2 linked regions of the Bombyx mori genome follow. The protein of the gene in region 2 binds, or shares a complex with, the protein of the main gene of each other region. Links are inferred from orthologs where the notes say so. Each region holds a gene or a part of one and is shown on either strand. Other genes may lie near its edges.

Region 1 (4,340 bases), on a different chromosome or scaffold from region 2:
ATCTGCCTTCTAGTGTGTACTGGTAAAATGGGGCGATTAGGGACAAATTCCAACTTTATGACCAATTTTAAGGTAGTTGTTGATGTATATAATGCTATATCAGGATCAAAATGATTGAGTCTTGGGGGCATCTTTGTTGTCCAATTTAAAACTATGCAACTAGCATTCCAGTTTAAGCAAAAAAAGCAAAAATATGTGTAATCCCTATTTACCCGGAAATTGCGGTTAATTGGGACGAAATGAGAAATTTTCTAGGGTGGGCACTACTTGGTTTTAATTTATTTATTTATTTAGTTGCACCAACAAAGTGATCATCAATAAAAAACATTGAAAAACGGACACTGAACAAATATTAAATATTTTATTATGTATTACTTAGACATTTTTGTCCACCTTGAGATTTCATTGTTCTTATTACATGTCTGTGCAAAATTGACTTACTTATATTAAATTGCTTAGCTATTTCAACTAAAGACTTATTCCCAATTTGGCAATTTCCCAATTGCTGTTTTTAATATTAAGGGATAATATCTGCACTCTTTGATACGTACACGCGAGGCATATCCAAAAATAGAAAACAATACGTAACTGATAATATAAATATTTACCAAACAATAAAATAACACATTGATAATTTTGAATAAAAGTTCTAAACAAAAACATCATGAATAAAAAAGATTTTTACCAACAAATCTAAAAAATATTGTTGTAACTACATAGACAACCCTAGAAACCTGTACCTATTTATATTTAGGTCGTTTCCATTTCACGTATTCTCATCCCAATTGATCCCTTTTTCGTTGTTATTTGTACCTAAAACGTCCCCAATATCCCCAGAAACAACAGATTTTTACATGTATTTTTATTTTATCAAATACATTAAAACCAATAACAACTGAGACTTATTTTTAATATACATGATGGTTCAAACACTAAATAACGTTTATAAATCACAGTCGTCTTCTATTATTATCAAATAAATAAAAGAGAGCAAAGTTTCTAGCACTAAAATAATTACCACCACAGGAAGTTAATTTGAAACGCGATTTTTTATAAGTTAGCAGCTATTATCATGCATATTCAGAGTTGTTTTGTAAACTTTCAACATTCTACTATTAAACTACAAAAAAATGGAAGATTTTGCAACGAATATAAAACTAATAATGAGCGTCGAAAGATTTTCTCGGTTTTTTCCCGATTCGCCTCTCAATCCCTAATCGTTCCATTTTACGGTACTGTGTTATCTCGAGGTTTGTATGTATTGTATACATACTGCATAGATAACATATTTGATAGGCTAACTTAAAATTACTAAAATTTGCAAAACTAAATTTCAATATTTACGAAATTGTTTTGATGTATTTTTCGCACGATTTGGAGCTCCATTGTGTTGTAGTTATCAACTAATTTAAATTTGTCGTGTCAAACGAAACAAATGGCAGGAGACGACGATGATACTTGGTAAGGAAATATTTTAGTTTTAATTTACTTATAATTCGGGATATTTGCTCATGAGAATTATTTGATCTTGTATCGTTTGATCTTAGTCCTCATAGATGAGGGCTAAGATTACTTCAGATACTACTAGTACAGTTTTGAGCATTTATCAGTATTTCACTATTGTCAAGGACGTCGTTTTGTTAATTATTTCATGACCATGTTTGCACATTGCAGTATACTTGCATAGGTAATTGTGTGAGATATCGTTAGCAATTATATATATAAATAGCGATTATACGTTATCGTCACCCTTGGAAAAATAATTGTAGTAAATTCTCATAAAAAATGCCATTCCTTCTACAATATTATATTTAATGTAAAATTTACTTCTTGGCACTAATAATTTTAAAAAAACTATTTTAGGTTGATAGAACTAGAGTCTGCTCTTCTCGATGGATGTACCGCACAAGAAATTAATGCATTAACGAAAGGAAAAAAAATACCTGTTAGCTTACGTCCTGATGTGTGGTTGTTATGTTTGAATTGTCAAGATGCTGGAAACCAATTGCTTTTGTTTGATGAGATATTTGACTTACCTAATCAGAATGAATTAAGAGATGATGTAAAAAAGTTTGTTGAAAAACTTGGCAATGAAGAAGATGATAAATTAGCAGTTATATCTGATGTTGAGTCAATAATCACATTTTATTGCAAATCGAAGAACACAACTTACACTTCAAACAATGGTTGGATTGATATTTTATTACCTTTGTTAAGTTTGAAGCTACCACGGTCAGATACTTATAATTTGTTTGAAAGGATTTTAAAATTGTATACACCAAAGGGCTGTTCAAAAAATGGAGTACCTTGCCATATATTAAGGTTGATACTTCAATACCATGATCCAGAACTTTGTTCATTTTTGGATACAAAAAGAATCACTCCAGAACAGTATTGTTCACCATGGTTGAAGTCATTATTTGCTGGTACATGTAGTTTGGATGTAGCTTTATACATGTGGGATTTGTATTTTCAAAGGTCAGATCCGTTCTTCATATTTTTTCTATGCTTAATTATGATCATTAATGCCAGAGAACAATTACTACAGATGAAAAATGATGATAAAACAGCCATTATACAAATTCTTACCAATATGCCTGCAGATTTGGAAGCAAATGATGTTTCGGATTTCTGTTCATTGGCTCATTACTACTCATTAAAAACACCTCAGTCTTTCAGAGATGATGTCTTAGAGGTCTTATTTTCAGAAAGTGAATTGGAAATAAATTCAAGACTGTACTCACAAGCTTTATGTCTGCCTGTAGCAGTTCATGAATTAATTGAAAGTGCAACATTAGAATTGGCAAATTCAGATAGTGTGAAATTCTTTTTAGTTGATTGTCGACCAACAGATCAATATAATGCAGGTCATTTATCCACCGCATTTCATCTAGATTGTAATTTGATGTTGCAAGAACCTGCAGCTTTTAATACAGCCGTGCAAGGACTATTAAATGCTCAAAGACAAGCCTTAGCTGCTGGATCACTTGCTGCTGGAGAACATCTATGTTTTGTCGGATCAGGTAGAACTGAAGAAGATAGTTATGCTCATATGGTGGTTGCATCATTTCTGAAGAGAAATACTAAACATGTTTCTATGCTTGATGGTGGCTTTGTGGCAATTCATGATTATTTTGGGCCTCATATGACAGATTGCCTAGAGGAACACAATGCATCAGCATGTCTTGTTTGTGTTCCAAATAATACCTCTGTTGGAATGAGTAAAAACGTAGCCAGTGCAACCAAAACTAGTGAGAATATGATTACTAAACAATTGTTTAGCAAATTGTCATCTGCCATGAAAGCTAAAAGTCAAGAAGTCAAAGGGAAATTGATAGAGTACATAGTTAACCCAAATTCCACATACAATAATAGTGAATGGCATGTGTCTGCAAATGATAGAAAAGAGCAAAGGTATAGAAATGTACCACCTGTATTTAGCATAAATGATGAAGATGAAGACTCACGGTCTGATAGTTTACGTCATGATCTTACACTTTCTGATTCTATCGAAGAAATAGTTAATGTGCAGTCGTTTCTTAAGGAACCAAATACTATTGATAATTTTCAATGCCAGGAAGTATTACTTAATGGATATATGCATGATTCTTATATAGTTGTAACAGAAACACACTTAATTGTTTTACGTGACATTCCAAATAAACGAGGCCTAGCAAAGATTATGTCTAGGAGACCTCTCTCTACTATAGTTAAAATAACAGCTAAGAAGAGGCATCCAGAATTAATTACATTTAAGTATGGTATTCCAGATGGTGATAATTTACTAATTAAAGATATGGATAGATTTCTTATTCCAAATGCCTCTGTAGCTACTAAAGTTGTATCAAATCAAATTGTACAACAGTTGGATAACAAATTACAGTGAACTATTAACATTTTCATATTGACTTAGTTCTGAGAAGTAGCTTATTTGCTACAAGTATAATGCAGATGCTTATCTAAGGACTAAGAATTATTTAAAAAAAAAACAACTATCATGTTAACTTGTATACATAGCCCTATCGGAATAAAATGATAAATGTTGTAATAATAGTAACTGCAGGTTTGTTTGCGATTAGTGGCAGTAAAAGCGCATTTATTTGTTGTAAATACAAAGAAATTAGCCTAAGAAATTTCAGGAATTTTAAAGTATTTTATTTCTTGAGTAATTTAAAACATTTGTCAGATTTTAATGAAATTATAGCAAAATAAGTGATTTTAATACTTGATCTTAAACTGAATTGGGGCTGCCAGTAGACTCAACTTACTTTAACTTCAGAGTCCCTGAAATTATACAATAAACATACACATTATAAACAGTAGATCAAAATTATCAATAC
Region 2 (3,832 bases):
TATTGTCAGATAGCGGGAACTACTACTAGAGATGTGTGAAATATTCTCGATAATTCTAGGGATGAGGTATCGGCTATAAAAGCGTTGTAGGGATGGCACGCAGTCAGTTAATAATCGGAACTACTCGAAGCGAAACAGCGAACGGATCACTTGAAGCGAAGCGGAACAAGCAGATTTATTGTTTTAAAGTGTTTGTTGAGTGTTTTAAAGTGCTTGTGAAGTGTTTAAGTGTTCTAAATGTTGAATACAGTTTTTTAGTTGTAGTTTGGTAGAATTTTATTTATCCCGAACCCCAGCGCGTAACAATAAATAACTAAACATTAACAAACCAATACCACATTTGAAATGGAAATTAAGGATAAGGAAATACAGGATTTTTTTATTGAAATTTTATTATACCGGTGACAGATTGCCCATCATCAGATACGCGGCGAGTGTCGAGTCAAACAGCACGGCTACCCGACGGCCACCGCCCCCGGATCCCTCAGGAGTTTCATGCATCTGCAAACAAATAAGAACAATCCAGAATAAAATTGTGCCAAAATACGTTTTCTAGCTCTAGCAATTCTGATTATAAGGAAAAGCTTAGGATTGAGACTTTTTAGCGGGAACGCGAGGAGTGAAGTTGTTTGATTTGTTTTATTTTGTCTATTTAGTGTTTCTTCAGGATTAAATTTTTAATAACGGTGGTGTGGGAAAATGAAACAAAGCCGCTGGACGTAACTTTTCGGGATCCTCCAAAAAGTCCACTGAAAAAATCTCAGTAAATGACCACCATTTTACTAAGATTATATTTCATCCCATGTCATCTCATCTCGTTTCATTTCATTTCATTTTTACGTCCAGCGACTTTGTTTCATTTTCCCACATTTGGGTTCATTTACAGATGCTAAACAATTAATAAATCACTGTGATTACACATTTAAACCTGAAGAAACACTAAATAGACAAAAAAAAACCAAATCACACAACTTCACTCCTCGCGTTCCCGCCAAAAAGTCTCTAAGGGTCAATTTTTTAAGGGATTTTGTGACCTGGTAACTCTAAAGCCTTGTTCGGACTAGGTGAGTATTTTAGTCGAATACCGATTAATTTAGTGGCTAAGCTACTCGCTACTCGCTTGAAAAAATAGAACAAAATGGATTGACTTGACTAAATTATTTACTAACCTACTAGACTAAATTTTTGGCTACTAAATTACTCGGTACTGGATTAAAATACTCGCCTAGTCCGAACAAGGCTTAAGGGTCTATACTTCGAGGATATGGACAGATGATGCCGAGCTGTCACCATAGACTAATAATGACAAATAGTGATTGTTCGATTTCCAAGTTCAAATCTTTGAAATCTCCCGCCAACTTGTTCGGTGACAGCGCTACCAACTGAGCACGACTAGTGTCGTGTCGCGCCACGCTTTGCCGCAGCATGTGCAACATTTTGAAAGTAAAAAAAATAAGAGACATACATTATCACTGCGGTTAGCCGTCAGTTTGTGTTTCTTAAAAAGTTTAAACTTCATTAACGCTTAGCCAGCGCACTGTGGTTGTATCTTGAAAGCGTTCTGGTGAGGCAGACTGATGAGGTAATTGCAGTATCTTGATCTTCATTCTTCTCCACAAATTCTTCCTACAAGCTTTCTAATCTAACACTCAACTCAGAAGTGAGTGACCACACGATCGATCTTAACATAACAATAAAACATAACCTTTATTACAATAGCAATAAAGTTGGTTTTTGTATTTTACAGTTTTATAAAAGTTCGGACGTTGCCGTTTCAATTGTTTCGAATTAAAAGCACACACCTGTTTGGAAGTAGATGGGGCGTCTTTCAGAAGCACCGGTTCCATTTGCAGAGTTTCCTCATCGACTCCCGGGTCAAAGGTCAAAGGTGTTATTTGTCGGTACCTGTGCAAAGAATATGCTAATCCATATACAAAAAAAACTATAGTAATATATAAATCTACAGTGATTTTTACGGATGTTCCGTTATAACTACTGAACCATACATCCGATTGACTTGAAGCTTGGTATCCATGTAGAAAATACATGTACATAATAGATAGGCTAATATTTATATGAGTGTTGGACTCCCTAATAATAATGATAATAAATAATAATGTTAATTTTAAATGCCCAGCGAAGCGGGCGAGTACGGCTAGTAAAGGATAAAATTATAATTAATAAATTAATTAAAAAAAAGGGCTTCAAAATGGTCATATCTACATCGATTATTAGAATAGTTGAAATCGTTGAATAATTATTATAACATTAGACTCTAATGGCGTTATCTCTTTTAATACACGAATATATGGAATTGAAACAAGTTTACGTGACTTTGCATTCCATTAGTTAAGCCAGCGGCTCTCAACCACCGTGTCCTGACACATCAGTGAGTTTGCAAGTACATATCAAGTGTGTCGTGATATTTACGGCGCGGCAGCCTTTGTAACTAACTATACTGAGACCTTAGAACTCATATCTCAAGGTGGGTGGCGGCATTTACGTTGTAGATGTCTATGGGCATAAAGGACTTGGCTTCGGCCTTAATGAATTTTTTATTTCAGGATATAATATATATCATACAAGACCTGGCTTCGGCTTTTTTGAAAATTTATTTAAGAAATTATATAAAACAGACAAGGCTGTCTGGGCTTAGGTCCCCTTGCCTCCCCTAATAAGGAAAAAATTTACAAAAAAAAAATGTCTATGGGCTCCAGTAACCACTTAATATCAGGTGGGCTGTGAGATCAACCACACATCAAGCAATAAAAAAATATTTTTTTGTTTTTTTTCTTGAGCTTTCTTCTCGAATTTGCACAGAATATGTTAGTGCGTCGCTAAGTCACACTCACGGCGGATGGGTGTGTGTCGTGACCGCGTCGCTCCAGGAGGGGTGCGGCGGGGAGACGGGCGGGGGGTGCAGGTTGTTCGCGAACCCAAGCCGGCAGTACAGCGACACCGCTTGCTTCACCAGCTCGCAGTCAACCTTTGATTAAAACAAATTTCATCCATCTTCATCATTTGAGAGTCCATCTTGTGTCGAGTGATATATCGGATATCGGATAACATTGAAGTCGTCGTGGCCTAAAGGATAAGATGTCCGGTGCATTCGTATATAGCGATGCACCGATGTTCAAATCCCGCAGGCGGGTACTAATTTTTCTAATGAAATACGTACTTAACAAATGTTTACGATTTACTTTCACGGTGAAGGTGTAATAATGGTGTAATAAAAATCAAACCCGCAAAATTATAATTTACGTGGTGGTAGGACCTCTTGTGAGTCCGCACGGGTAGGTTCCACCGCCCTGCCTATTTCTGCCGTGAAGCAGTAATTCGTTTCGGTTTGAAGGGGCAGCCGTTGTAACTATACTTGAGACCTTAGAACTTATATCTCAAGGTGGGTGGCGGATTTACGTCATAGATGTCTATGGGCTCCAGTAACCACTTAGCACCAGGTAAGCTGTGAGTTTTGTCTACCCAACTAAGCTATAAAAAAAAATTGTGAGTCTGCGCATTTAGGTATCACCACCCTGCCTATTTCTGCCGTGAATCAGTAATGCCTTTCGGTTTGAAGAATGGGGCAGCCGTTGTGCTCTAATAACTGAGACCTTACAACTCATATCTCAAGGCGGTATTTACGTTGTAGGTGTCTGTCGGTAAAAAAAAGCGTGTCAAGGTACATCTCCTACCGACCTGGAGGACGGCAGCAAGTTCCCCGACCCCGGTGTGCTCGTCGATGGAAACGAACACCTTGTACAGCAAGGTCTCGAAGTAGTCCCCGGCCACACGGTTCATGACGAAGCCCTTCAACGGAGGGACGGACACCTTA

The links.
Region 1: the proteins of protein FAM91A1 (region 2) and TBC1 domain family member 23 are in contact, whole or in part, in a crystal structure (PDB 8JJ9), measured with the Homo sapiens proteins. The link is inferred for Bombyx mori from reciprocal best matches to the Homo sapiens genes FAM91A1 and TBC1D23. Residues at the interface, in NP_659400.3 of Homo sapiens: Arg49, Glu60, Arg61, Tyr64, Asp84, Ile85, Lys88, Gly89, Leu90, Arg91, Ile92, Thr93, Phe95, Ser96, Ile159, Pro161, Tyr176, Ile177, Thr178, Glu179, Asp181, Ile182, Lys190, Asp194, Ile197, Asp198, Tyr216, Asn217, Lys218, Gly219; in NP_001186127.1 of Homo sapiens: Arg533, His534, Val535, Ser536, Ser537, Asp539, Val541, Gly542, Lys543, Pro544, Tyr545, Arg546, Val548, Pro550, Val551, Phe552.

Annotation. Positions count from the first base shown.
Region 1 is NC_085118.1:8,948,389-8,952,728, reverse strand, and holds the start of TBC1 domain family member 23, read left to right. Parts: upstream 1-1,247; 5' UTR 1,248-1,435; coding exon 1,436-1,461; intron 1,462-1,863; coding exon 1,864-3,886; 3' UTR 3,887-4,340. UniProt on the Homo sapiens protein: Putative Rab GTPase-activating protein which plays a role in vesicular trafficking. Involved in endosome-to-Golgi trafficking.
Region 2 is NC_085125.1:2,177,267-2,181,098, reverse strand, and holds part of protein FAM91A1, read right to left. Parts: coding exon 3,697-3,832; intron 2,987-3,696; coding exon 2,853-2,986; intron 2,325-2,852; exon of another isoform or gene 1,906-2,324; coding exon 1,803-1,905; exon of another isoform or gene 1,748-1,802; intron 1,583-1,747; exon of another isoform or gene 1,444-1,582; intron 502-1,443; coding exon 400-501; intron 1-399. UniProt on the Homo sapiens protein: As component of the WDR11 complex acts together with TBC1D23 to facilitate the golgin-mediated capture of vesicles generated using AP-1.